Linked DNA regions of Rattus norvegicus. Each later gene encodes a partner of the first gene's protein in a complex. Links are inferred from orthologs where the notes say so. Each region holds a gene or a part of one and is shown in the gene's direction. Other genes may lie near its edges.

Evidence for each region.
Region 2: Dhx16 (region 1) and Snrnp200 share a complex: the UniProt entries of both Homo sapiens proteins name them as parts of the minor spliceosome. The link is inferred for Rattus norvegicus from reciprocal best matches to the Homo sapiens genes DHX16 and SNRNP200.
Region 3: Dhx16 (region 1) and Eftud2 share a complex: the UniProt entries of both Homo sapiens proteins name them as parts of the minor spliceosome. The link is inferred for Rattus norvegicus from reciprocal best matches to the Homo sapiens genes DHX16 and EFTUD2.
Region 4: Dhx16 (region 1) and Rbmx2 share a complex: the UniProt entries of both Homo sapiens proteins name them as parts of the minor spliceosome. The link is inferred for Rattus norvegicus from reciprocal best matches to the Homo sapiens genes DHX16 and RBMX2.
Region 5: Dhx16 (region 1) and Rbm48 share a complex: the UniProt entries of both Homo sapiens proteins name them as parts of the minor spliceosome. The link is inferred for Rattus norvegicus from reciprocal best matches to the Homo sapiens genes DHX16 and RBM48.
Region 6: Dhx16 (region 1) and Cwc27 share a complex: the UniProt entries of both Homo sapiens proteins name them as parts of the minor spliceosome. The link is inferred for Rattus norvegicus from reciprocal best matches to the Homo sapiens genes DHX16 and CWC27.
Region 7: Dhx16 (region 1) and Cript share a complex: the UniProt entries of both Homo sapiens proteins name them as parts of the minor spliceosome. The link is inferred for Rattus norvegicus from reciprocal best matches to the Homo sapiens genes DHX16 and CRIPT.

The regions. Positions count from the first base shown.
Region 1 is NC_086038.1:2,873,252-2,876,751, reverse strand, and holds part of Dhx16 (pre-mRNA-splicing factor ATP-dependent RNA helicase DHX16), read left to right. Parts: coding exon 1-236; intron 237-343; coding exon 344-547; intron 548-628; coding exon 629-823; intron 824-932; exon of another isoform or gene 933-1,140; intron 1,141-1,404; coding exon 1,405-1,515; intron 1,516-1,624; coding exon 1,625-1,740; intron 1,741-2,958; coding exon 2,959-3,169; intron 3,170-3,343; coding exon 3,344-3,442; intron 3,443-3,500. UniProt on the Homo sapiens protein: Required for pre-mRNA splicing as a component of the spliceosome. Contributes to pre-mRNA splicing after spliceosome formation and prior to the first transesterification reaction.
Region 2 is NC_086021.1:134,880,956-134,884,972, forward strand, and holds the start of Snrnp200 (U5 small nuclear ribonucleoprotein 200 kDa helicase), read left to right. Parts: upstream 1-1,217; 5' UTR 1,218-1,327; coding exon 1,328-1,372; intron 1,373-1,787; coding exon 1,788-1,951; intron 1,952-3,721; coding exon 3,722-3,893; intron 3,894-4,017. UniProt on the Homo sapiens protein: Catalyzes the ATP-dependent unwinding of U4/U6 RNA duplices, an essential step in the assembly of a catalytically active spliceosome. Plays a role in pre-mRNA splicing as a core component of precatalytic, catalytic and postcatalytic spliceosomal complexes.
Region 3 is NC_086028.1:88,343,358-88,347,615, reverse strand, and holds the start of Eftud2 (116 kDa U5 small nuclear ribonucleoprotein component), read left to right. Parts: upstream 1-1,458; 5' UTR 1,459-1,511; intron 1,512-3,163; exon of another isoform or gene 3,164-3,242; intron 3,243-4,258. UniProt on the Homo sapiens protein: Required for pre-mRNA splicing as component of the spliceosome, including pre-catalytic, catalytic and post-catalytic spliceosomal complexes. Component of the U5 snRNP and the U4/U6-U5 tri-snRNP complex, a building block of the spliceosome.
Region 4 is NC_086039.1:132,769,395-132,772,007, forward strand, and holds part of Rbmx2 (RNA-binding motif protein, X-linked 2), read left to right. Parts: intron 1-1,370; coding exon 1,371-1,500; intron 1,501-2,613. UniProt on the Homo sapiens protein: Involved in pre-mRNA splicing as component of the activated spliceosome. As a component of the minor spliceosome, involved in the splicing of U12-type introns in pre-mRNAs.
Region 5 is NC_086022.1:31,512,734-31,516,726, forward strand, and holds the start of Rbm48 (RNA-binding protein 48), read left to right. Parts: upstream 1-1,193; coding exon 1,194-1,304; intron 1,305-1,788; coding exon 1,789-1,979; intron 1,980-3,984; coding exon 3,985-3,993. Other genes in the region: peroxisomal ATPase PEX1, read right to left, coding at 751-879. UniProt on the Homo sapiens protein: As a component of the minor spliceosome, involved in the splicing of U12-type introns in pre-mRNAs.
Region 6 is NC_086020.1:37,706,539-37,710,693, reverse strand, and holds the start of Cwc27 (spliceosome-associated protein CWC27 homolog), read left to right. Parts: upstream 1-1,355; 5' UTR 1,356-1,415; coding exon 1,416-1,457; intron 1,458-4,155. Other genes in the region: protein SREK1IP1, read right to left, coding at 780-792. UniProt on the Homo sapiens protein: As part of the spliceosome, plays a role in pre-mRNA splicing. Probable inactive PPIase with no peptidyl-prolyl cis-trans isomerase activity. As a component of the minor spliceosome, involved in the splicing of U12-type introns in pre-mRNAs.
Region 7 is NC_086024.1:13,340,135-13,344,146, reverse strand, and holds the start of Cript (cysteine-rich PDZ-binding protein), read left to right. Parts: upstream 1-1,212; 5' UTR 1,213-1,275; coding exon 1,276-1,291; intron 1,292-3,798; coding exon 3,799-3,864; intron 3,865-4,012. UniProt on the Homo sapiens protein: As a component of the minor spliceosome, involved in the splicing of U12-type introns in pre-mRNAs. Involved in the cytoskeletal anchoring of DLG4 in excitatory synapses.

The DNA.
Region 1 (3,500 bases):
AGTCTCGTCGGGAATACCTGGCAAAGCGGGAGCGGGAAAAGCTGGAGGACCTGGAGGCAGAACTGGCTGATGAGGAGGTCCTGTTTGGGGACGTGGAGCTGAGCCGCCATGAGCGCCGGGAGCTCAAGTACAAGCGGCGTGTGCGGGACCTGGCTCGGGAGTACCGGGCGGCTGGCGAGCAGGAGAAGCTGGAGGCCACTAATCGCTACCACATGCCCAAGGAGACTCGAGGACAGGTGAGGGAACCGGTGTGGTGGCTGCTCCCTTCCCTCTCCTGTTCATAACTGGTAGAAGCAGTGGTGGGGAGGGTCTTCTTCAGCTTTCTCGGCTGCTCTCCCCGTAGCCCGCTCGAGCCACCGACATCGTCGAGGAGGAATCAGGGGCCCCGGGCGAGGAGCAGCGGCGCTGGGAGGAGGCCCGTCTGGACGCCGCATCCCTCAAGTTTGGGGCCCGAGACGCTGCTGCCCAGGAACCCCAGTACCAGCTGGTGCTGGAGGAGGACGAGACCATCGAGTTCGTCCGTGCCGCTCAGCTCCAGGGCGACGAGGTGAGAGGGAGAAAGTCCGGGGTAATGACAGGAGGGCCTCTCAAGGTGGTGGGGACCTCAGCACCTCTGTCCTTTCCTCAGGAGCCGTCATCAGGCCCGCCCCTGTCAGCCCAGGCCCAGCAGAAGGAGTCCATCCAGGCCGTGCGCCGCAGCCTGCCAGTGTTCCCCTTCCGAGAGGAGCTCCTGACCGCCATTGCCAACCATCAGGTCCTCATCATCGAGGGCGAGACTGGGTCAGGGAAGACCACACAGATCCCACAGTACCTCTTTGAGGAGGTCAGTCGTTACAGCATGTCACTTAGGGCCCACTCAGCCCTTGAGTCAGTCCTGGGAGACCCCCTTTGTGTGATGGTAAAGATGTCCTTTCCTGTCCTTTCTGCTAAGTCATGAGGCTTTTGAGACTGACGAGGCCACTCTTTCTACCATTTTGTTCTCCCCGCCATCACATCCATACCTGGTACGAGTTGTGAACGTGCAGGTCTCCCATGGGAGCAGTGAGATGAGCATCATAGATTGGAACCTCTTGGGCTTCCATCCCGCACGACCTCGGCCCTGCTTTCCCTCTGCAGGGGCCAGAGAACTAAAAGTAAAAGGTGTTTTCCTACTGTTTAACCGCATGTCTCCCATTGCTTCTGGGTATGCCTCGGCCAATCTGTCCCTGGTCAGTTCAAGTCCAGCAGAGCCCTGCCTATAAGCCAAGGTCTGCAGGCTGGCTTAGCATCCCCGGGGGCCCTTGGCTTCTCTCTTGTCTGTCTGTCCTTCTCTGGCTTTCATCCCATCTGTTCTCCTTTCCCTGCCCTGCCTGGCTCACAACAGCATGTCTAACAGAGGAGTAACCCCTCCTTCTCTCCTCTTAGGGTTACACCAAGAAGGGTATGAAGATTGCTTGCACCCAGCCCCGGAGAGTGGCGGCCATGAGTGTGGCAGCCCGAGTGGCCCGGGAGATGGGGGTGAAGCTTGGGAATGAGGTGAGGTCTTTGGGGATTCGTGAGAGGGAAGCTTCTTACGTTGCTGGCATGGCCCCACACCTCAGGTCTGGTCATCGGTCATTCCAACCTCTTGACTGTCTGTGACCAGGTGGGCTACAGCATCCGGTTTGAGGACTGCACATCAGAGCGAACTGTTCTCCGCTACATGACAGATGGAATGCTACTCCGGGAGTTCCTCTCTGAGCCTGACCTCGCAAGTTACAGGTGCGTGCATGTGTGTGTGTGCGTGTGTGTGTGCGTGTGCGTGCGTGCGTGTGCGTGCGTGTGTGTGTGTGTGTGTGCGTGTGTGTGTGTGTGTGTGTGTGTGTGTGTGTGTATGCTTTGCACAAGATGCCCCACCTCCCCCTCAGAGATTCTCGCTTCCTTTAATCTCTCTCTATTCTAATGGGTCCAGGTGGCCCTTATCTGTTCTTAGTGTTTTGAGACAGGGTTTCTCTGTAGCCCAGGCTAGCCCGGAATCTACTATCTAACCTTAGCTGGCCTCAGTCTCGTGGGTCACATTGCTGAGAGTACAAGAAGAGCCACCAGGCCATGCACTGTTTGCTTTAAGTTCTTAGTTCCACTTCTTCCAGTGAGAACAGCTGTCTCTTGACTGATCCAGAGATGTCTGACTTGTTCTAATCCTAGGTTAAAGGAATCTAGACTCTTCCCTGCCTCTTTGTTCTTTTATATTTGAAAAAGAATTGTGTGTGTGTGTGTATATGTGTGTGTGTGTATGTATGTATGAGTGTGTACTTATGGTGTGTATATATGTATGTATGTGTGTATGTATGTATGTATGTGTATATGTGTATGTATACAATTGTGTTTGTATGTATGTATGTATGTACGTGTGTGTATGTGTACACGTATGTGTATGTATTTGTGTGTATGTATGTGTATGTATATATATGTATGTGCATTTGTGTATGTGTGTGTATGCAGTTGTGTATATATATGTATGTGTGTATGTGTGTACATGTATGTATGTGCGCACATGTGCATATGTGTGTATATATGTATGTGTATATGTGTGTGTGTATGTGTGCACGTGTGTATATATTTGTGTGTGTGTATGTGTGGACATGTAGGGGATCAGAAGACAGCTTATAGGAGTCAGTTCTGTACTTTCACCATGTGCATTCGAGGGATCAAACTGAGGTCGGCAGGCTTGGTGGCCAGCACATTTACCGCTGAGCCATGTTACTAGCCCCGTCCTGACTGCTTCTCTTGGCCAGTGCCCGGATGGGCCGCAGATCACAGAACCCCCCACCATGCTCACCATCTGCCAACATTACGTAATTGGAACATTTGACTTCTCCTTAGCCTCCTCCCACTCAGTCCCCTTTCCCCCTGAGGTCCCTCCATCCCTCTCTTTGATCCAGCCCTGCACTGCTAAGCCCCTGCCGCTTGTCCCTCACCAATCTCCCACTTTCTCCCCAGTGTGGTGATGGTGGATGAAGCTCATGAGCGGACCTTGCACACAGACATTCTCTTTGGATTGATCAAAGATGTTGCTAGATTCCGACCTGAGCTCAAGGTCCTGGTGGCTTCGGCCACACTGGACACTGCTCGTTTTTCTGCCTTCTTCGATGATGCCCCTGTCTTCCGAATCCCTGGACGCAGGTTTCCAGTTGACATCTTCTATACCAAGGTGCCCCTCGGGAGGATGGGCTTCCGTGTGAGGCAGAGGAGCTGGGGCTGGCTTAGGAGGATGTCCCAATGGAAGGGTCTAATGGACACCCAGAGAGGGGTGGGCATTGAGCAGGGACAAGAGCCTGCCTGAGCAAGTGGCCCTTCTGTGACCCTGTGTCTTCCTCCTTCCCAGGCCCCAGAGGCTGACTACCTGGAAGCCTGTGTGGTGTCTGTGCTGCAGATCCATGTGACCCAGCCCCCTGGGGATATACTGGTGTTCCTAACGGGACAGGTGAGTACTGTGGTGGGAAGTGGTTGGAGTGTTTCGGGGAGGATGGGGCTGGTGTGTG
Region 2 (4,017 bases), on another chromosome or scaffold:
GGTTACCATGCTGCTATTAAATATGATAAGATACAAGCTGGTCACAGCAACCCAGGGCTGCAGCCATAGTGTCTATGAGTTGGAGGCAGGAGGATCGAGAGGGCAAGAGAAGTCTCTGGATAGCAAGTTTGAAGCCTCCTGGACTACAGAAGATCTTCTCTCAAAAACCAGACAAGAGCTAAAGAGATGGCTTAATGGGTATGAACACTGGCTGCTCTTTGAGAAGACCTGGGTTCCAATCCCACCACGCACATGGCAACTCATAACCTATCTGTAGCTCCAGTCTAAGGGAATCTATCACCCTCTTCTGGGCATCTTGGAGGTCTGCGTGTACATGAGACACAAAGATACATGTAAGCCAAAACACCCAGATACAAAGAATAAAATGTAAATGATAAACCAAATAATAAAAAAGTCAGCAAAATGGCTCGATGGATTAAGACACAGGCTTAAGGTTCACTCGTGCTTATTAAACATAAAAGAAAAGTAGAACTCGCTGTTTTGCTTTCAGTGTTGTGTAGAGAATTATTAAAAGACTAAATACTACCTTTACATAAAAGGTACCACTATTGCTTAATAAATCTGAATAGTATTTCTATACACATAACTTATTTTTCATATATTTCTTTAGTAAAACGTTCGTGCCACATTGAGGACAAAATTATATGCTGTAATCTGCACGATTGTGCACACCTAAAATCCTGACACAGGCTGTGTCAGATGATTGAGCACAAATATTTTTTCCTCTACTGTCAGTTAGCTGACACAGGGGAGAGTCTTACGGAAACGAGTCTAAGATGAGTTCAATAGGACAGCGAGCGTTACCCCAATTTCTCAATACAGAAGAGAAATCCAGTTAGTTACTAGACATGCCAACTTGCTTGAACCTTCAGCTTCCTTGTCCAGAAATGGAGCTCTTTAGTTTCCATTCCTTGCAAGCCTGCTGCCTGCCTCACAGAACGGCTGGTATGAGAAACCAAAAGTATTACAGAAAGGGACTTTTAACATCATACTTTTCGGGGGTTCAGCCTTGGCTCTGTAGTACCTATAGATGTGTGGAACCATAGTTCGCACGCGCGTGTGCCTAGTCGGTCAATGGAATTCGTGACCCGGATGTACTATCGTCCACAAACTCCGCCCAGAAGTCTTGCGTAATAGCCGGAAAGTCTCACTTTTATCGTGCGTCCCGGAACCGGAAGGAAGTCCGTTTCGTTTCTCCGTCCCGTACGTTTGTCCTGCGTGGTACCTGTTGGGCCAGAGCGGTTTGCACAGGCGGTTCGCACCGTGAGGAAGAGTGGAACCCTGAGTTCCCGGAGCACCGGCAGCCATGGCGGATGTGACTGCCCGCAGTTTGCAGTACGAGTACAAAGCGGTACGTGTGGTCTCGGAGTAGGATTGCGGGCAAGGGAAGTCGTGGATAGTCACGAACACTGATGGGGAAATGAGAGCTGGGTGAAGGATGTATTAAAACACGACGGAATATCCTTAGTGGAGATTGAGGGACGTGAGAATTTAGGAGTCCCGTCCCCCCCTCCCCCCGCTAAACTGTCTCCTCGTTACCCCTGATCTGCCCAACATTTTTCCCAAATGTGGGCTATTGTGGATGTTGTTAGGAACGCTGGTCGTTCACCTTATCAGATAGTACAGTGCTCATGCATAGTGCAATGACATACTATTCTTAAGAGCATTATTCTTTTATTCCAATGTTTTTCCATTTTCTGGTGTCACTGTAATAACAGGATTCAAAAACCATATGTCAAAGTTTTGATAAAGTATGATCTTTTCAGAACTCAAATCTTGTGCTCCAAGCTGACCGCTCTCTCATTGACCGGACCCGCCGGGATGAACCGACAGGAGAGGTTCTGTCCCTGGTTGGGAAATTGGAGGGAACTCGAATGGGAGATAAGGCTCAAAGGACCAAACCACAGATGCAGGAGGAAAGACGGGCCAAGTAAGTACCAAGGGGATGCTTTTTTTTTTTTTTTTTCAGCTAATGTAAAGCCCATCTTTAGCATTAGAGCAGTAGTTTTGCTGAAGTTTGTATGGAAGATCAGTGATGTGTGTGCAACATAGCAGAAACCTCTTCAAGGTTTAAAACTTCTTTGAACTTAGGTGTAATGAAGTGGAACAAAATCTATTGATACCTTTTACTGACATATTTCCTATTCATAGATGTTAATTTTCTTCAGTGTGTGTGTGTGTGTGTGTGTGTGTGTGTGTGTGTGTGTGTGTGTGTATGGGGTGGGGGTGTTGTGCACATGCATGCAAATGCCTATGTGAAGGCCAGAAGATGGTTTGAGATCCCTTGGAACTTGAATTACGGGAGGTTCTGAGCTACCCAATATGAGTCTGAAAACTGAACTTGGGTCCTCTTAGAAAGCAGTATTGGCGTCAGACTACTTGAGCCTTCTCTCCAGTTGGCTATCTGACTATTTCAGGGCTCTAGTTAATCTCCTCTGAGTAATTCAGCTCCTACTATTTCAGGCCTCTAGTTAATCTCTCAGTAATTCAGCTCCACCACATTGTTAGAAACTTTTCTCCCCAACCTTTCTTCTTTTGTTGCCTATCACTTCCTGATGATTTCTGTCAGCTTTTCATGTTGGTGGATTCATTTCAAAAGTTAAATACTACTTTGTTTTGCCTGCCTGCCTGCTTGTCTGCCTGCCTTCCTTCCTTCCTTCTTTCCTTCCTTCCTTCCTTCAAGACAGGGTATCTCCATCTATAGACCAGGCTGGCCTTAAACTCAGATCCATCAGCATCTGTTTCCCGAGCACTGAGATTAAAGTCATGTGCCTCCACCTTCCAAAAAAATGTGTTTTCTCTCTTTTTCTCTATCTCTTTTTTTAAAGATTTATTTTATGTATATGAGTATACTGTAGCTATCTTAAGATTGTAGCTGGGCTGGGGATTTAGCTCAGTGGTAGAGCGCTTACCTAGGAAGCGCAAGGCCCTGGGTTCGGTCCCCAGCTCCGAAAAAAAAAAAAAAAAAAAAAGACTGTAGCTGTCTCCAGACACACCAGAAGAGAGCATTGGATCCCATTACAGAGGGTTATAAGCCACCATATATTGCTCGGAATTGAACTAAGGACCTCTGGAAAAGAAGTTAGTGCTCTTAACCATTGAGCCATCTCTTCTTGGCCCTGTTTGGTTTGAGTGGTTGTTTTAGAAGAGCTCAAATATTGGTCTTTCAGTTTCCAGAGCCTGACATCTTTTCTAGTTATTTATTGGGTGTCATTAGAAGTAGATTCCACTGGAGCCTAGTTTCTCTTACTACTAAAATGTGATGGGTGTAGCTAAGGCTAAAAAAAAAGGAAATAATATTCCATAGTTTCCTCATGTGGTTATAAAAGTAAATAATATTACATAGTCTCCTCATGTGGTTATAAATAATATTACATAGTCACCTCATGTGGTTATAAATAATATTACATAGTCTCCTCATATGGTTATAAAAAGGTGTACATTTAAAGGTAATGGAGACCGTGTTTCATTGTAACAGCTTATCAGATGATGTTATATTTTCTTTCTATAAGAATGTCCCATATGAAGTATCCCATAAATGTGGGACATAAAGAAGTGCTTCTTCAAATAATTAAGGTCTGGTAGGAGCTATTTTTTTTCACTCATTTTCCTGCCTTCACAGAGTAGATGTATAGAAAGGGTAAGCTTTGCTCGGGAATGGAAAGTCCTCCCATTCAGCCTCATGTTTTCTGTCCTTTAGGAGGAGAAAACGTGATGAGGACCGACACGACATCAACAAGATGAAAGGCTATACTCTGCTGTCAGAGGGCATTGATGAGATGGTGGGCATCATCTATAAGCCCAAGACGAAGGAGACCCGGGAGACCTATGAGGTGCTGCTCAGTTTCATCCAGGCTGCTCTCGGGGATCAGGTGAGGCCACCGAGGAGGAAAGAGGAAGGGCATAGAGGAGTTTTTTTTTTTTTTTTTTTTTTTTTTTTTTTCTTTTCTTTTTTTCGGAGCTGGGGACCGAACCCAGGGCCTTGCGCTTGCTAGG
Region 3 (4,258 bases), on another chromosome or scaffold:
GCTGGGAATTGAACTCAGGACCTCTGGAAGAGAGTCGGTGCTCTTAACCGCTGAGCCATCTCTCCAGCCCCAAATTTATTCTTTTATATTACGAATACACTCGCTGTCTTCAGACACATCTGCTTCTAACAATATTTTAAACACTAAGGACTGGCTCAGTGGTAGGACTTTGCCTTGCAAATGCCTTGGGTTTGATCCCTAGCAAACCACAAAACCACAACACACACACAATCTGGTGCTTCAGCTGAGGGGGCAGTTTGGAGTTCAGATTTCTGATTCTTCATTCTTTCACCTAGGACTTCTCTATATCAGGTTATTACCATAAAGGAAGGAACACACAGAGAGAGAACAGAGAGAGGAGGGGGCTTCTTTTATTATCTACTCCTGCTCAGGAACAAAATTTCACACTTCACTAAATGTTTTTAATGGAGAAAAAAAATCACCTAGACCCAAAGCAATGGCAACGCAGGAAGTTGAGAACTATCAGAGGGAGAAAAGCTCAGTGGCCTTCCTTCCCAAATCCCTGACCAGGGGAGGGCTGCAGGCAAATGTGTGGTGGCATTATCTCCAGTCCTACCACTGAAGTTCTGCCCCCTTCTGGTGGTATGTGTCCGATGGGGCTGTTTTCACAGGAATCTATGTGTGCCTGTCTGGGTTCTGACATTTACTTATGATACCTCTTTCCACCTCAGAATCCTGGTGAGCGGGTGCTGCATGCTGTAGTTCACTCAGGATCAGCCAGCCCTAGGGCAGGAAATGAGCTGATCCGCAAGCAAATCCACAGCCATGCCGGATCCCATCGATGGGAAGTGGAAAGCCAAGAAGTGGGCTGTGTTAGCCAGCCAACAATTGTACTCAAGTGTCTCAGATTCTATGCAATATTTTGGGGTGGGGGAGATCTCGCTATGTAGCCTAGTTCTCTCCAAAACTTCTGAGCTCATGATGTTTCCTCTAGGCTCAGCCTCAGGAGCGATAGAGACTATAGACTCTCTCCATCCCGCCCACTTCCCTGGCTAGTTCTAAGCCTTCCCCTAGAGTAATCCCCTTTACTGTCCCCAAACCCTCACCCAGTAGCCCCAGTCTTGGACCTTTTGCTTTCTTTTGAAAAAGCCCCTCGATCTGTTAGAACGAACACCTTAGAGGATCGCCCAGCCAACAGCGGTTGTTGCCTAGCAACGGCGCCACTAGCCCGCCCACGTGACCAGCCCGAAGGCCCTCCCTTCGGGCTGTCCCAAGGCGCCTGATCAGATCCGAGACTCCTCCGACCGTGCGTTTTTCTGAAACAGTTCACGCTTCGTTTTGAGGATCAACAAATTGGCTTTTCCAGTTTCTGTCTCCAAGCCAAAATTCCTCGAAGCTGCTCCTCAGGCAGAGGGCTGTCCTGCGAGGCGAGGCGATCCGGCGACGCGCTCGGGGTCCTTCCTGGCGACGGGCGCCGGCGTTGTCGCGGCGTGCGGCGGAAGCGCGGGCTCAGGCGGCGGACTAGTGGCCCTCGGCTGATCAGGCGGCGGGTGAGCTGGCCGGGAAGGGTATTCTCAGGGGTTGGGGAACCAAAGAAACCCGAGTTTGGGAAGAGGCGAATTATGCCTTTCGCTTAATCAACGCGTAAATTGAATTCTGGCGTGGGGAAGGGAATGAAAGACACCGACCCCCAACACACGCTCACACGGTCGATTCCAGCGTTTCCGTGGTCCCCGGCGTGGTTAAGATCCTGTGCCTTAGTAGAGGTGGCGCTGTAAATACCCAGACCCCTGCCACTCCCCCTTCTATCGGTCCCTGCTTCACAGCCAAACTGTGTCCGTCTTCAAACTATTCTGCATCCAAGCTGGCTGTGATAGCTGGTGCCTAATTCTTCCTCGCTGGAGATAGAGGCAGGAATATTGGTGCAGGTTCAAGGCTAAGCAATGGGTCTGGTTCAAAAAGCCAAAACAGAAAAGATTTCAGCATTCCTTTGAGGATCTGTGTTGTAGCGGGAAGATGCAGTTCTAGTATTAGGGACTAGCTTTACTTAACTAAGCATGTAACTAATTCATCCTCCCACCCCCAACAAACAAAACTAGCAAAACGTATTGAAGGCCTGTTTTGTCCCAGACACTACTGTCATTTTTTGCTCCGATTTTTATTATTAACGTTTGTCAGTAGCAGATATACACCCATGTATTCCTAAGTACTACTCAGGCATAACCTTGATTTATTAGGCTGGGGGTGTAACTCGGTGGAGAAGTGTGAGGCCCAGAATTTGATCTTAATCACCCGACCACACACTAAGATTAGTGTAAGGCTGGGTTGACAGGTGTATGTGGAGGGATTTTTAGCGTGGCAAATAGGTGACATTAAAGGAGAGGGGTGAGTTAAATGAATTAAGATATAAATAGCCAGAGGACAATGGGAATGACAATAGCCCTGAGGCAGAGATGAGCTTGGCTTGTTGAGCAAACAACTTTCTTTGAAAATTTGTGCCATTTTCTGGTGGGAGTCTTGAGCATAATTGTGGTGGCCTCTTAGAACTAAAAACAATAGTTACATCAGAGTCTCCATAATGACTGACATTTAATTACCAGTGATTAGCACTCTAATTCTGCATTTTATTTATAGTCATTCCTCACTGAGGTATTCAGTCTACAGTAAGAAATAACAGAATTTCAAAACTGAACATTCTACTCAGTTAACCTTACTCGGTGTCTGTTTGTGCAAGGTGCTGCCTAGGGTTTTGGCGTGTGAACACATGCTCATGTTTTATGTTAACCAACATTTGTTATTTGTATTTTTTTGGGGGGGGGGTTCTTTTTTTCGGAGCTGGGGACCGAACCCAGGGCCTTGCGCTTCCTAGGCAAGCGCTCTACCACTGAGCTAAATCCCCAACCCCTTTATTTGTACTTTTTGAGACAGGGTCTCTCATATCTCAGGATAGGATCGTGGGTATAAGCTCTCATGCCCAGCTAATCTTACGTTGTGTGTTTCTCTGTGAGTATGTTTGCAAATCTCTCTGGTGAATGAGGATCAGGTGTGCTGTGGCTTGCAGGCAGAGGTCAGAGGACAACCTTCAGGGTTTGTCCCTCCACTCCTGACCTGTTTTGAGATAGGATCCCCTCGTTACTGCCAACACCAGACTGACTGGCTCTGAGCCTCAAAGAATCTCTGCCTCCCATTTCCTGTAGGAAATCGCAGACACTCACACTACCAGATGGGGCTTTTTCGTGGGTTTCCAGGATTGAACCCAGGCCGTCAGACTGCATAGCTAGGTACATTCATCGCCTTTCTAAGGTCTTAGGCTGTGATAATTCACTCTAGGGAGGTAAATGCAGTTCCACGAGTTAACATCATCGTTAGAGATGAGGCTGAGATACGATGATGGAGTGAGGTCGATGGAGCGAGGTCTTTAACTCCAGGGGCCTGATGCTTTTCCCCTGCTTCGGTTTTTGTTGCTCACAAACTGTAGAGGAGTTGTTGGTGAGAATAACAGTAGTCACCTAGCATTTGGGACAGAAGATACTGAAGAGAGTGAGAAGTGAGAGGCTGAAGGGCTAGGAAAGCTTGAAGGGTGGGATCTAAACTGTTCCTTTGAGCAGGATATCAGTCACTGAAGTGGGGGAAAAATCCACTGGAATTGCAGACAATTGTAAGCTAATGTGTGGATGTTGAGACTCGAACCTGGGTCCTTTGAAAGAGCAGTAAGAACAATGAGTTCTTAATCATCACTAAGGGAAAATGAGTACTTTTATAACAAGCATGTCCGCTGTCAGCATAGTTGAGGGCACAGCGAGAATCATCAGTGAGGAATGGTGTACCGCTAAGAGCAGATGCAAATCCACACGAAGGGATTGCTGATACAAAGCATTGCTTTGTGGTCTGAAAATGTCAAGTCGTGAAAGTCAAGACTAGAAAGCCATTCTAGATTAAAAGGATAAAGATACCTCAGGGTGTGTACAGTCCTGGTTTATGTCCTTAGCTGTATAATTCATGACTGGAACAGTTTTTCAACTTGGCATTAGGTAGAATAACCTGCTGGTATTGATGTTTTTGTTTTGATGATTGTATTGTGATATTTTGAGAACTTTTTTTTTAAAGTAAGATGCTGGAAAGATGGTTTAGAATTTAAGAGTAACTTCTAGGCAGCCATGAAGACTTGGAGTCAGATCCTAGCATTCACATGGCAATCTTCATGTTCCCAAAGGATCCAATGCTGTCTTTGGAGACATGTGTATAAAATTATACATAGACAAACAGACACACACACACACACACACACACACACACA
Region 4 (2,613 bases), on another chromosome or scaffold:
TAGCCCTGGTTCTCCTGTAAAATTCTGTATACCAGGCTGGCCTTGACTCAGAGATCTGTTTGCTTCTGACTCCTAAATGCTGGGGTTAAAGGCATGTACCAACACCACCCAGTTCTGATCTTGATTAAAGTCACCTAACACTAAGGTAGTGGGTTAAATGGGTTTTTATTGGGATTATATTAATATTTTTTATTAACTTTCTGGGGGATTTTGACAGCTTTCTAATAGTGAGTCATCCTATCTAAGAAAAAGAATGTATTTCTAAAAATGTATGTTTATGTGTTTTGGAGATTTAAAAGAGTTCTTCATATAGGCTTTGTATAGTGTTTATATATTGGGTCTATTTCTAAGTATTTTGTCCTTTTTTGTTGCTGTTATGAAGGGGATTTCCCTTCCATTATATCTTCTGATTACTTTTTGTATATAAAGGGTGACTGACATTTAACTCTGTCCTGGTATTTTACCAAATTGCTTTTTTTCATTGTTTATCAGTGATGCTGTTTAATTTTCTATATATACTATTGTATATAATCTGCAAACAGAGACACGTTTACTTCTCCATTTCTGTTATCCGTTTTATCTAATTGCATTGGCTGTACCTCATTATACTGTCAACTAGTTCTCCATCTTAGTTGAATCACATTCACTATTTTGCATTGAGAAACATACTAGATTTTGGATTGGTATAATCATGTAACTTATAGGTCAATTTCTGTTTTATTTTAAGACTTAATTTATAAAGCTTTGGTCTTTATTAAAGCTTGTCTTTGTTAGGTTTGTTTTATTTTATATTCATTCTTTTTAAGGAATCAAATTTTTTAGGCCTACAGATTTCCCTGAGTATAGCTGGATTATATCCTACAAAATTTCGTGTATTTTTAATGTTTTTAAAATGTCTAAATGGTATACCCTTGACATTTTAAATTTTGGTTCATCCAACTATTAAGTTATACGTTGGCAGTGGGTTTTTTAAGAATTATAAAGAGTGTATGGATGTTTTTGCTGGCATGCATTTCTGTATCTTGAGAGATAGAAGAGGGTTCTGTACAGCTGGAGCTACTGAGAGCTGTAGGCATCCACGTGCGTGCTGGGAATTGAACCTGGGTCCTCTGGAAGAGTAGCCAATGCTTTTAACTATGGAGTCATCTCTGGCGCTCCAGTAGCAGGATTTTGTTTAAAATATTATTTCTAGTTTTATTACAGTGACTGTTGAGTATATAGTATAGATATTAGAGTTTATTTTTAACAAGTTTAACTCTATACTCAATCTACTATGTCATTTACAGTATTTTATTATATGAGTTTTGTTTGATCGTTCAGTATGAAAGCTTTTACATTTTAAATGAATAAAACATTTATAAAATAAATAGGTATGGAGAGATTGTCAACATTAATCTTGTGAGAGACAAGAAGACTGGGAAATCCAAAGGATTCTGTTTCCTGTGCTATGAAGATCAGAGGAGCACAGTTCTGGCCGTTGACAATTTTAATGGAATTAAGGTAAGTGAGCTCACTGTGTAGTCTTTGGCTGGACTTGTCCTGTGGGTAGATGAGGCTTCACTTTTTTGCCTTCTGTTTATAGCTGCAGGAATAGTACTGCTCAGCTGGGTGTACTGTGGGGGTTGTAGAAGTACTCAGGCAGACTGGATAGGAAATGATTCCAGGAAAACATTTTCTGTCTCATGCACCTGCCAGGAATCATTCCTTTTCTCTGTGTGTTAGCAAACTGTTGTTCCAGAAACATGGGTCTGTGCCCCCTTATCTGGCAGATGTTTTTAATGCATATTTTCCATCTGTTCTAGTACACTAGAGAATGAAGAGACTGGAAACACAGCTCTTGGATATTGTGCTGTGTAAGGGAACTGGGAGCTTCATCATGGCTTTAGGAATTAAGACAGAGCCATGTATATCTAGTCTATGATTTCTGTGACTTAATATATTGGCTCCTAGAAATTTTCTAGTTAAAAAATTCTGGTGACCAATTCTATAAAAATAAGCTATTGTGAAATTCTAAGTAAGTGGCATACAGAAGGAATCATCAGAGGAAAATTGCCTTTTCAGAAAAGTATGAAAATGAGAAATAGAATAAATGACAGAAGCTTTTCAGGCTTAAAGATATAAATAAAAATATATCTTTATAATAAGATATAAATAAATAGTGGAACAGTGAAATTAATCTTTAGGTTTTAGATGATATTGCCCGCATAGTAATCTGTAATGTGTCTGCTTGAAAATAGATTATTTAAAGGGCAAAGGATTAATTTTATTGTTGTTCACCTGGAAAACTCTTAACTTACAGCCCAATAATCAGTAGGAGAAGAAAAAGGTATGAGAGCTCGAGAAAAGGAAATAGGGCTAGGAATATAGCTCAGTGATAAGAGTGCCTGTCTGTCATATCCAAGACCCTGAGCTCAGTACCCTCGCTTCAGCCACCGCTCCTACCACCGTCACAATCACAGCACCAACAAAAAAATTTTGTTCCCTTGGTCTTATTTTGCCTCCTTCTTACTTTGTTGAAAAGGCAACTATAGCATTAAATTTCATGTTTCTTGTCTTCATGATTTCCTAGGGCATGTTTTCTTGTTAAATGTGTATAACTTTGTATGTATACAC
Region 5 (3,993 bases), on another chromosome or scaffold:
TTGGTGTGTTTTGATAGGCGGACTGTAAAAGCAAGATAAATCAAAGAGGAAATAAAGGTGGAATACAAGTCATTTCAAACTCTTGGATATTTCTTTTATGAGCCAGTATTCCGCTACCAAGCACCTAGGACTTTAGATTTCAAATAGTCTAACCCCATGAATACACTCAAACTAGAGAGTCTGTGCTCACTCTTAATAAAACATGGAGGCTGTCTCTCCACCGATGGAGTAATCCTGGCTTCGCAGGTGAAAGTACGAGGTGTGAATAATTCCATTGCCTTGTCACCCCCCCACCCCTTGTGGTGTCCGAAGTCCTCCTAAGCAGGGAGAGCTGTCACTTTATTAACCTTTGGCACAGGTTGGAAACCTTGGTAATCTACCAATCAAGTCTGCCACTCAATGCTTCTATGGCTGCACTGGCAACTTGTTGGCAGGATAACGCTTTAGCAAAACCAGTAAGAGCTCTCTAGAGCTTTCCATCCTAGAGTGAGGACCGCTTCTGAATGCTGAGGCAGAACCCTAGTATGTTCAGTCTGGTTTAACCGAGTTAAAAGGGTGCCCAGTAGGGTCTGGGGATGCACTAGTCGGGGTGTAGGTGCACACACTGCCTCCCCACGCCATGCCCGCAGAGGGCCCTCGCTCACGCCTCAGTGCGGGTTCGGTGGCAAACACTGTCCGGACCGGGAAAGGTGTCAGCGAACACTAGTCCCACAAGACATCGATGGTGTCCGCGTCCGGTCATCGCGTTACCTGCAGCAGGTGAAGCTGGGCCACGAGGTGCCGTGGCAGATGGAGGAAGCAGTCCCGAGCATTCGTGAAGGCCACCGTCACGACCGCCCCACCAGACCCCGCACCGGCTAAGCGATCACTGCTCCACATTGTCCCAAGGTTCAACTCTCGCCGGAGAGCCGAGTCCGCCGGCTTCCCGTCAGGCCAGGGCGTCGGAGCCCGAGAACATCGATCGGGGCCGCCCCCCTCTTCACTCGCCTGACCGCTGTCACTCTCGGATCGCTCCTCCGAGGCTCTAGGGGGCGGCACATCGCTCGTCGAAGTCTCGCTCTCCGGAAACAATCGTCGATGGGGTCGATCCTCCAGCCAATCCTAACACGCTTGGCCCATACTGCTCTCTCATTGGACACAAAGGAGCACCGCTGGCGGATGTTGTTCTGGCGCGGGGGCTTGAAGCCGGCAAGATGGCCTCCAGTGACGGGAAACCCGGTGGCATATTCGACCACCACGTCCAGACAGCTGTGTGTGACTCGCGGGCCAAATACAGGGAGGGCCGACGCCCTCGCGCGGTCAAGGTAGAGTGACTTGGGTTCCTTCTCTCTCCTCGGCAGGAGCATTAACTTCCTGTCAGCACTAGCTCTCCATGGCCTGCCTCCATAAAGGCACGGCAGGGATGCTGTCAAGTCCATCTCTCAGTGGAGGGGGCACGAGGAACAAAGTTTATCGCTGTTGTCGGTTTACTGCTTACTCCACGATTTTTAGCTTTGCATCCTATAATACAAGGACAAGGTCTCACAGGACAAGCCCTGTTAAGTGACTGTTTACATTAGCTTCTCTGGGGTCAACTTTGGGAAAAGACGTCTGTTTAGTCAGATACCCTTATGTGGAGTGTGTTATTCTTTAGGCAGAAAGAGTGACAGTTTTGTGTGTATGTTTTGCAGACCATATTGAGCAGAGTATTTCTTGTTTTCAAAGCTCCATTTAAAAGAGGGATGGGAAGACAGATTTGCCATAGGCTTGTTTGAAGAGTACGTTTAACGGGCTCTCCCCCGACTTTAGGTATATACCATCAATTTGGAGTCTCAGTACTTACTAATACAAGGAGTTCCTGCAGTGGGAGCCATGAAGGAATTAGTTGAGAGATTTGCTCTCTATGGTGCGATTGAACAGTATAATGCTCTAGATGAATACCCAGCAGAAGATTTTACAGAAGTTTATCTCATTAAATTTGTGAAATTACAAAGTGCAAGGTATGTACAAGTTAAGCAGAACTCGCGTCTTCTATTCCTGTTGCCGTCATTTCGGCCTCAGGATTTCCCAAACAGACCCAAATCACATGAGCACTTCTCACTCTCAGTCTTCCTGATTTGGGGGTTGGGGAGCAGGGTTTATTTGAATAGCTTTAGCTGTGCTGGAATTAGTTCGATAGACCAGGCTGGCCTTGAACTCAAAGAACCCTTTGTCTCTGCCTCCCGAGTGTTGGGTCCAAAGGTGTGCAACACCCCATCTCGCCTTCTGGTTTAGTTTTTACCAGGCCTCACATATGCAGTCAGTCACTCTAACAGTGAATGATATCCCAGCTCTTCCTTCTGATGTTCGAAAGGCTGACTTTACAACACTTTTCCCATCCTGTGCTTGATGGTTTCTGAACCTGGAGTGTGGTAGATTTGGGAGATGAGGAATTACATTTGAAGCACATTTCCAGTCCTATGGCTTCCTGACTTTGGAGAATTTTATTCCTGCCAAGCACATTTTTTTTTCTTTTCCTAAAATCCACAGGGCAAAAAGGTCTACTTCTTGAGGTTCACTGAGGAAGGATGAAATGAAACAATTTATGTAAAAGGATTAGACTGGTACCTCCTATTAAGAGTAAATATTAGAGCCAGGCAGTGGTGGCACAGGCCTTTAATCCTAGCACCTGGGAGGCAGAGGCAGGTAGATTGAGGTCGAGGCCAGCCTTGTCTACAGAGCTAATTGCAGGACAGCCAGAGCTACCCAGAGAAACTGTGTCTCCAAAAAAACAAACAAACAAACAAAAAAAACCAAAAAACAAAAACAAAAAGTAAATATTAGTAATGACAGTTCTTATTAGTATGGTTCTATGTTAATCAACCTTGTATTCCAATAAGACTGAAGTCAACAATGCTTTATTTTATGTTAACCCTTTGGGTGGGGGAGTGTGTGACTGTAGGTGGGTGCACGCCTGCGTGTGTAAAACTTGCTATGTAGGCCAGCTGACTAGAACTCAACTTCCTCCTGAATCTGCCTCCCCATCCCCACCAGGTTTAAAGACATGTACCACTACAGTGTACTCTACCCTATGTTTTGAGACGAGACCCTTATTGAAACTAGAACTCATGGCTAGATTGGTTGGCCATCAGGCTCCAGTGGTCTTACCTTCTCTATCTCGCCAGCACAGGGATTATAGGCACAGTACGGTGCCTAGTTTTTATGTGCACGCTAGGGATCTGAGCCTAGCTACTCAAGCTTAAACAAGTACTTTTTCAACTGAGCAGTCTCCCTAGCTCATGTTAGCCATTTTTTCTTTTTAATCATTAACATGATCTAAACCATATCCTTCTCTGGCTTTTGCCATTTATAAATGTTTTGGTGGAAAAGGGCTTCAAATCCTCTGGCACTGGAGTTACAGGTGGTTGTAAGCTATCCAAAATGGGTCTGGGATTTGAATCTACTCTTCCCAAAATCAGCAAGTGCTCTTATCACCCACCTAATTATCCCTCCAGCCCCTGTGTTTCTTTTGTTCGCTACTCCTAGTCCACCACAAAATCACTTGACTTCAAAAGGCCATGTGCCTTTTCTTACCAAGTGGGCAACTCTTCGTGGTATAGAGAGCAGATTCTCTAGCGCCTTGTATCTCTACAGACCCTGATACAGTTGGCTTTGGAGTCAGCCATCTGAGTTGAATCCTAGTTTTATAGATGAATGTATGTGACCCAGAATTTCCCGGTGCCTTGGTTTTACCATGAGATGGTTATGAGATGTCAATTTAAGTGGCACACTTGTGGCTTTGCATGGAGTAATCGCTCAATAAACATTAATCATTATCTGTAGATACAGAAGTACTTAATTACTTACAGTGCTTGGTTCAGCATAGGTGTTCAGCATTTCTTTTTTAAACATTATTATTTCTCTTATTTTTATGTGTATGTGGCGTGGCTATTTGTTAATTGTTTTTGAACCATGTAACTTATGCATTTCTTTAGCATTCTCTTTAAGTTATGCATTTCTTTTTAGGATAGCTAA
Region 6 (4,155 bases), on another chromosome or scaffold:
GGCTTCATAAATATTTTCAGGGCCTTTCCTACAGTACTATGCATTGTGAATCTTGGAGATGTAAGGTGGGTATATCTCTTAAAAACACCTGCCCGATATTAGGGTTTTTGCAGAAACACATTCTGACAAGGCCGGCTTGGGGAAGTTCTTGAGGCTCCCCAGTAAACTGGAGCAGCAAACAAAAACATCCCCGGAGCCCAGTGTGCCGTGTCTAGGTTAGAAACCTCTGAACACCAAAGTGGAACCTACAAAAGAATCTTTGATACAATTCAAGGAAGCGCCTTCTTGAAACTAAGAGGGAAACTGAGGCCCCAGAAGGGCACAGAAACCGGCCTACAGCTACACTGTAACTAAAGGCTGGAAGAGCTAGGACAAGCCCCAGGTGCACTTCTTGACTGGATGACTTTCACTACAATGTACCACCTGGATTCGCCAAAAGTTCACACTTCGAATTTTATTTTGAAATTCAGTGAAAGTTACAGTCTTACGGGCAACTTGTCCCCTTAGGCCTACAGTTCTCATTGTCACCAACTCTCTTGTCCCTCTTACAATACACTTTCCCTGTAATCCTGTGCAGTTTGGGCTTGCACAAGAATGACAGAGATGATCTTTCCCAGCCCTCTTTGAACTTGTAGTGTAAACTTTTTCATGTAAATCAACCGATTCTAAATTTTCAGGCCTTCGCCTGAATCCCCAAGTGCTCCCTGCCACCCCCGGTCCTGGACTCCCCTGCTCGCCTCATTCCTCTGGAGTGAGAGAGCCCTGCGGTTGATCTTCACCTGGGACTGCCATAATGCAGGTGAGTGGGGTCACCGGAGTCCTGAGCTTTCGAGATCGCGTTTCGTTCAGGTCCTTAGCGAGGACAACGCACTAGCAGAGGGATCTCTCCCACCCGGTCACTACAACTTCACAGGGCAGGAGAAGGCCGGATGCACATCCAGGGTTGGCGGAACTAAGAAGCTGCGGACCCAGTTTCCAGGGGTGTCCTACCGCGGAGCACACGTGGTCTGAACCATTTCGGCCAGCTTCCGGAGGTGAGTGCTATCTGCAAACACCGGACCTGGACGCAGCACCCGGATTTACGGATTGGCCGTTTAGCTAGTATTATGAATGACACGACAAATTCTCTAAAGTTGCAGAGGTCTTATAGTCTTTTCTAGTTTCCTGAAGAACAGGGACATCCCCCCTCCCGGAGTTAGCGGTGCTGCGATCCGGGAGCAACATGGCGACGTCCATGAGGGGATAGTTTGGGGGAGTAGCTAGTGCTTAGTACGGTTGTCCTGTCTAACTCTGACCGAGTAAAGTTTTCCCCAAGTACCCAGGTAAAGAATTGTCTACTAACAGGTGGGCATCGTCAGAGACCCGCCATTCGCTCGCGGCCACACTAAGGAACGGAGTCTTGAGCAGTGAGCAAGATGAGTAACATCTACATCCAGGAGCCGCCCACGAATGGGAAGGTGAGAGCCTCTACCACCTGGACATCCTAATTAAGAGCAACCTGATTGGGGGTGGCAAGGGAGTTGAAAGACCAAAAGGACTGCCCTCCACATCATGCTTATGGCCACTGTTGCATTTATACTATTTACAGTGACATGTCTCAGCGTATTTTTGAGAGTTATTGAGCAACTTCTCTATTCGCTAGTCTTCTGACCCCTTAACTTCCTTGATCCAACTCACGTGAGCGCCTTCTAGTGTCTGTTGTTTTTAAGACTTACGTTAAGATTGTTCATTTTTTTAGTTGTTTAACTTGGAGGTCGCGCATTCTCTACCATCATTTATTGAAGGCCTCCTTGGCACAACGCACTCTACTAGGTGCTGATGATACAAAGCAAGGTTGGTGTGCTACACACACACACCCCCACCCACACACACACACAAATATATATATATACATATATATATATACATACATATATATACACATATATACATATATACATATATACATATATATGTATATATATATACACACACATATATATATATGGCTAGCTGCTAATTCCCTATTTCAAAATTACAGGCGTGCATCGACACACCTGCCTTTGGTTGGGAAGAATTGAAGAAGATTATATTGCCATGATAGTAAGGCGGAGTGAAAAACAGGAAATGATGGGGAAAACATCTTGGAGGACATATCTTTTGAGATAATTGTCAGAGGCAGCGGGGGAGTGAGGAATATTACTGGGTAGGAATGGGAATCGATTCCCTGATAGGTTTCATACCGAGCTATATTTCTAGAGGACAATATTAATTTTAACTAATAAATGCTCGTAGAGATAAAATAGACTGACCATTTATTCCCCAATGCAGGACCTTAACTTTTGCTGTTCATTTCTCTAGTATGCTATTTTATCTGTTCAAACGTCACTCTTAACAAAGAGGCCTATAAAATAGCAAATCTCAGTGATGCCCTGGGTCTCAACAATTTCCAAGTATTTAATAGTATATTACTTTTGTTTCTTTCCTATATAGAATGCAAACACTATCAGTGAAGATAAACATCTAGAAACAGTGATTCTCTACCTGTGGTTTGTGACCACTTTGGTCAAATAACCCTTTTACAGGGGTTGAATATCCGACATCCGACATATCAGATATTCATGTTAGGATTTATAACAGCAGCAATATTACAGTTATGAGATAGCAATGGAAATAATTTTATGATTGAGGGTCATTACAACATGAGGGATTGTATTAAAAGGTCACAGAATTAGGAATTGAGAGCCACTGACCTAGAACATTGCTTCACATACACTGTGGAGTTCATGCACTATGAAAGAATAGCTAGGCAGATGAATTAATACTATGTTTTCTTTAGCTTCTGAGAGGTATTGAGCATAAGTAAGGGTGAATCATGCCCAGACTTAGTTGTTTGACACTTTTAAGAAATAAAAGAGGGTTTCATATGAGTCTTTAGCTATGCTGGAACTGGTTGTTTACTGTAGGAAATGATTTGACACATTCATAGAGTAAAAGCATTTCTGAACAGGAGCTCATTCCTTCAACAAATATTTTTAAATTGTGTATATATACATGAGGTGTGTGTGTGTGTGTGTGTGTGTGTGTGTGTGTGTGTGTGTGTGTGTGTGTGTCTTGTTTTGAAGAGTTAAAATAAAAACTTCATAAAAACTGCAAAAGAACAGCAGATAAGGGGACAGGACAGAGCTGGCCTGAGATGTGCCCGGCCAAGCCTAAAAACAAGGTCAAGGGATTGTTCCAGGAAGGGGGCCATCCGGACGTATGACTCCCTGCTCTACAGATAAAGATAAGACGTTCTCCTATATTGAGAACACCCCAGCCCGCACGTACTGCTTGCAGATGAGACCTTGTACCCATTTCCCTTGCTGATAACCATGCGAAACCCCCTGGCTTCTCCTATATAAACCCCTGCCTGAAGAGGCTCGGGGCCGATTCCTCTGTCTCCTGTGTGAGATAAGTGTCGGTCTGGGATCTCGTTAATAAACGCTACCTCTTGCTGTTACATCAAGACCGGCTACTCGCGTTTCTTGGGGGCACCTCAACCCATGACTGGAGCGAGGGTCTCCCCAAGTTTGGGGGTCTTTCAGTTTCATGGTTGTCCCACTGCATACATTAGAAGGTTCAGAGTATAACTTTAGATGATGGCCCTCATCTTCCACTTAGTTTAAGGCAGTGTCTTTTTGTTGTGTGATGCTGCCTATGTCAGCCTAGCTGGCCTGTGTGTAAGCTTCTGGAGAACCTTTTTGTCTCCTCGGCTCAGCGTAGAGTGCTGGAATTAAAGACACATGTTATAGAACCCACATTAAAAGAAAAGGAAAAGAAAAGAAATCACACACACAGAGTCTGGGTACTTGTGAGTCATTCTTTTATTTTATGATCCAAGTTTTAATGATTAGTTACATGGGCCTATGTTACCCAGATTAACTAGGCCAGCTTTCACAATTGCCATTTGAAAGATAACATTACTAATGTAGAAACTTCATCATGAGTCGTGGTGCTTATCTTAATCAAAGCACTTGACAGGCACATCTCTGACTGCAGGGCCACCCTGGTCTACAAAGCAAGTTCCAGGGCAGCCAGGATTATACAAAGAAACCCTGTTTTAAAAACAAACAAGCAAATGTAACAACTTGCTAGGTGTGGTGGTATACTCCTTTAGTACCAGTACTCAGCAAG
Region 7 (4,012 bases), on another chromosome or scaffold:
TTTGACCTAAAGAACATTTTTTATGTTATATTGACTAAAATTAATTAAGAACTTTAGCAATTGTTACAATGTGGTAAAAATCCGGCCCAAAAAGGAACATCCACACAAAAGGAGGAGAAATTAACAGGGAACGTAAAAGTGCAAGTCTGGGCGTTGTCCTATTTGCCCTCATTTAATTCACACTATCGTTTTCAAAGGCAAATATGGTACTGATTAAGCAAACCGGCTAAACAAGTTAGCAGAAGCGGCCAAGGTTACACACACTAAAGCCATTTCAAGTATCGCCTCTTTAACATGAAGACACCCTCCGGGGTCCGGACAAGAACGGATAACAATGAAAAGACTTCGGAAAAGTTTCTCAGATTCTCCCCTCCACTGAGGGATCGGGCAGGTAGGGGGATCAGAAATCCATCCTCTAAGTAGAGCTTGTCTCTGGGCCACCTGCAAATCCCTATCTAACACGGCGAGCCGTGCCCAAACGCAAAGGCCGGTTGAATGGAGCCCTTCCTCGGGCACCGGCGGGCGAGTTTCCCTAGCACGCCACACCTGGGAAGCCGCCCTTCGGAGTCGCGATCCCACGAGAGCCCGGTGGGAAGGCATGGCTGCTCCCGAACCCTCCTGAGCAGCCTTTGCCCGGGCGCTGACCGCGGCTCAACCCCACCCAGGTGACTCTGTCCCAACCCCGGACAGCGCGAGTGTGGGCAACTGAGGGGCATCATCAGAGAGAGCCCGGGCGGCCGACCCGGTAACCTGAGAGACGGTGACAGAGGGTCGGTCCCGCCGACAGACGCCGGGATCTCAGAGGGTCCGTCGCGCCATGCATCCTCTGGCCCGCCGGAAGCGTGGCGCCTTGGAAGCCACGGCAGCAGTCCGCAGAGCGACCTGCACCTGCCCCAGGAGAACTTAGGAAGCATCCCTCCCGCTTACCTAACTCTCCCGCCCGCCGAAGGGAAGGGGACACCACCGCCTCCCACCCTCAGGTGCGACAGGCTGCCATGGCCCCTCGCGCAGGCGCAGACCAGAAGGCGGGGGACTCACAAGCGGATAGCCAATCGTTGAAGAGAAGAGGCGGACCGATAAAGGAAGCCCCGCCCATGAGCTCGCGTTTATCCCTCCCGCGACTTTCTCCATCCTGGATAGGCCGGAGCGGGAGGGCTGAGTACGGAAGCGAACTGACGTAACCGGAAGAGGAAGTCTTCTCAGCTGTGTTGTTGATGTATTTTGGCAGCTGCTCCTGCTTTGCGGGTTGAGGGGGACAGGACGACCCGTGGAAGGATGGTGTGTGAAAAGTGTAAGTTAAGGCGCTGCTTCTGTGGGAGGTGGAGGCTGGAGGAACCCGACGAAATTCTCTTGGGATTTCGGCCTTTGTTTTTTCTCACCGGTCTGTAGTATAACCTTTGTCTTCCTTCCTTGCCCCACGGTCCTTGCCTATCCCGGGACCCTATAGCCCTATGCTTTGTGTTCAGAATGGTCTCAGTTCTGCACATCTATGCTTGTTTCTGTCACCGTCCTCGCGCCCTCCTTGGATCTCTTTAATTATAACTTCTTGACAGGATCCCAGAGACTTAAAAATCTTTCTGGTAGCATCTAGAGTTGCCAGGTGTAACAAATATAAATCCCAGGCTCTCAGTTACATTATAAGATTATAGGCAATGATTAATTTCTAGTATTATTAATATGTCCCGCATAATATTTAAATCTTGGCTTTTGTTCGCTGTTCCTTACTACAAAACATGCCGCATTTAATACAGATTTTACTTTAAAAATTAATTCAGTGGTCATCTGAAATTAAGTTTAATTGAATATCTTATACCATCCCGTCAGTTCATTAATACAGCATTAGGTCAGGTGAAGGAGAGAGTCTCATCACCACCAAAGAAATCTATGTAGTCATCCCTGGCTTTTAGAAAGGTCTTTTTAACTCTTTAAGTTACCATTCAGTAATTCCAATGAAACCCCTGAGATTTGTTGAAAATACTTATTGTTTTGTTTTTTCGTTTTCTGTTTTTTGTTTTTTACTGCAAAAGCTGTTGATTTGTTTAAAACAGCTTTCTTTTCTTGATCTCTTTCTTGGGCTAGACAGCCTTCTCTGACAAGATTCCAACTTGGATCTCAGTTAATGGCTAATATATACAACCACAGTACATAGAACTCTGGACACAGACACCACCTAGTAGCTGTGGCATCAGACTCAGCCACCATTCTTTTTTTTTCCAGTAAATTCTATTTCTTTATTATTTTTGAGATAATATAATTGCAACATTTCTTTCTTCCATTTCCTCCCTCTAAACTCTCCCATATATCCATCAAATTCCTGACCTCTTTTTTCACTAATTGTATTGAATGCATACATGTATATAGTTGTTTTATAAATGCAGCCTGCTCAGTTCATATATTGTTACTTGGATGTATGTTTCCGGGCTGACCATTAGCACTGGACAACCAATTGGTATGCCCTTCCCTCGGGAAGACCACTCCTAGCTACCTTCATCAGCTCCATTCTCAAACAGCTTTTTATTCTTTTTGAAAGTGGGGAAAGTGTTTAATTAAATGTGGCCTAAATGTAGATATGACCCTGTCCTTTGTGCTGTGCAGTAAAAGGCCATTTCTTTCTATTATAGTTACTCCTCTGCTCTTCTGAAAAATCTAATGTTTTACTATTTGTAACCTCCTAGTCTGTGTGCTCATTACACTCACCCTGTATGTAAACTGAACTCCTGCTCATACAGAAGCTGTACTGTCAGGCAGCCACCTCAGTTCTGCCTTTCCTTCTGTCATAAGTTGCTCAAAAAGTTCTTTGTCTCCAAATTTTTAGAGTTCTCTTCCATTTACTGGGTTCCAGGGTGTTTGTCTTGGTCTGCTTTGTTTCTCTTGATCCATTAGATCTTTGGGAAATGGTTGACCTCAGCTAGCACATCCATACCACTGAGTATCCAGTTCACCTCTCCACCTGACCTTTTCCCTACTTAAACTCTAAGAAGTAACTGTCCATTTGGATCTTGACGTCCGAGGCCCTCTACAGACAAACACCTAAGCTATCCTTCCAACCTCCTTTCTCCCACCTCACACTGAGCTCGCCAGAGTACTCTGTGCACTGTGGTACCCCTGAGCTTCCCATGCCTGACCTGGGGATGTGTCCTTTATTTACTGTTTGACTTCATCTCCTCATCTACTTTCCCAACACTTAAGCTCCATCTCCTTAGTTCACAGCTCAGGCTTCCAGCTTATGGTTCTACTGAAGGCTTCTTCACTTTTCAGAAAGGCTCCAGTCAGAACAAGAAAAGGTTATAAGCACATGCTCTAGGTTTCTGTGCAGTCCCGCCTGCTTCGTTTCCTCCCAGCTATCAGCCTACAAGCTCTTAAGGAGCTCGTGAACTTGGGTCTAAGCCCCTGAATCTAGACTCATGGCTTTGTTTTCCTCAGTACCTCCCACAGTGCTTTGTACAGACTAGGTGATTAGAGAATGTGGGAGAAATGAATACGTTTGTCAGAATTGTTTAAAGTATAATCAGTGGAACCTGTTGGTAGGGCATCTTGTTGTCCTGGAAGTTTTATTTAGAACCAGTATCTGTTGCCCACAGTTGCTATCATTCATTCATTGATTTCTACCCTGGTGTTAGTAGGTTCCTACTGTAGTCTCACTTTTCATGTCATTATGTACTTCAGGCATAATACAGTATATTTATTATTTTAAATTATTATTGTAACGTTAGCAGAGAAATGCGTTTTGTTATTTTATTTCCACACAGTGTGTGTATTAGATGACAGTTGTACTCTTTTGCTATCTTGCTACAACAGGTGAAAAGAAACTCGGCAGGGTTATCACTCCAGACACATGGAAGGACGGGGCCCGGAACACCACAGGTACTGCTTGCCAGTAGGAAACAGGAGCTGGATCAAGTGCTTGTGGACACAGCTCTAGGGCTTCACTGTTTGCAGAGTGCAGTGTTAGATGATGACTCTCTCGTCCATTAAACACAAAGAGGACCGGATTCCCCTGTGAATTCATATC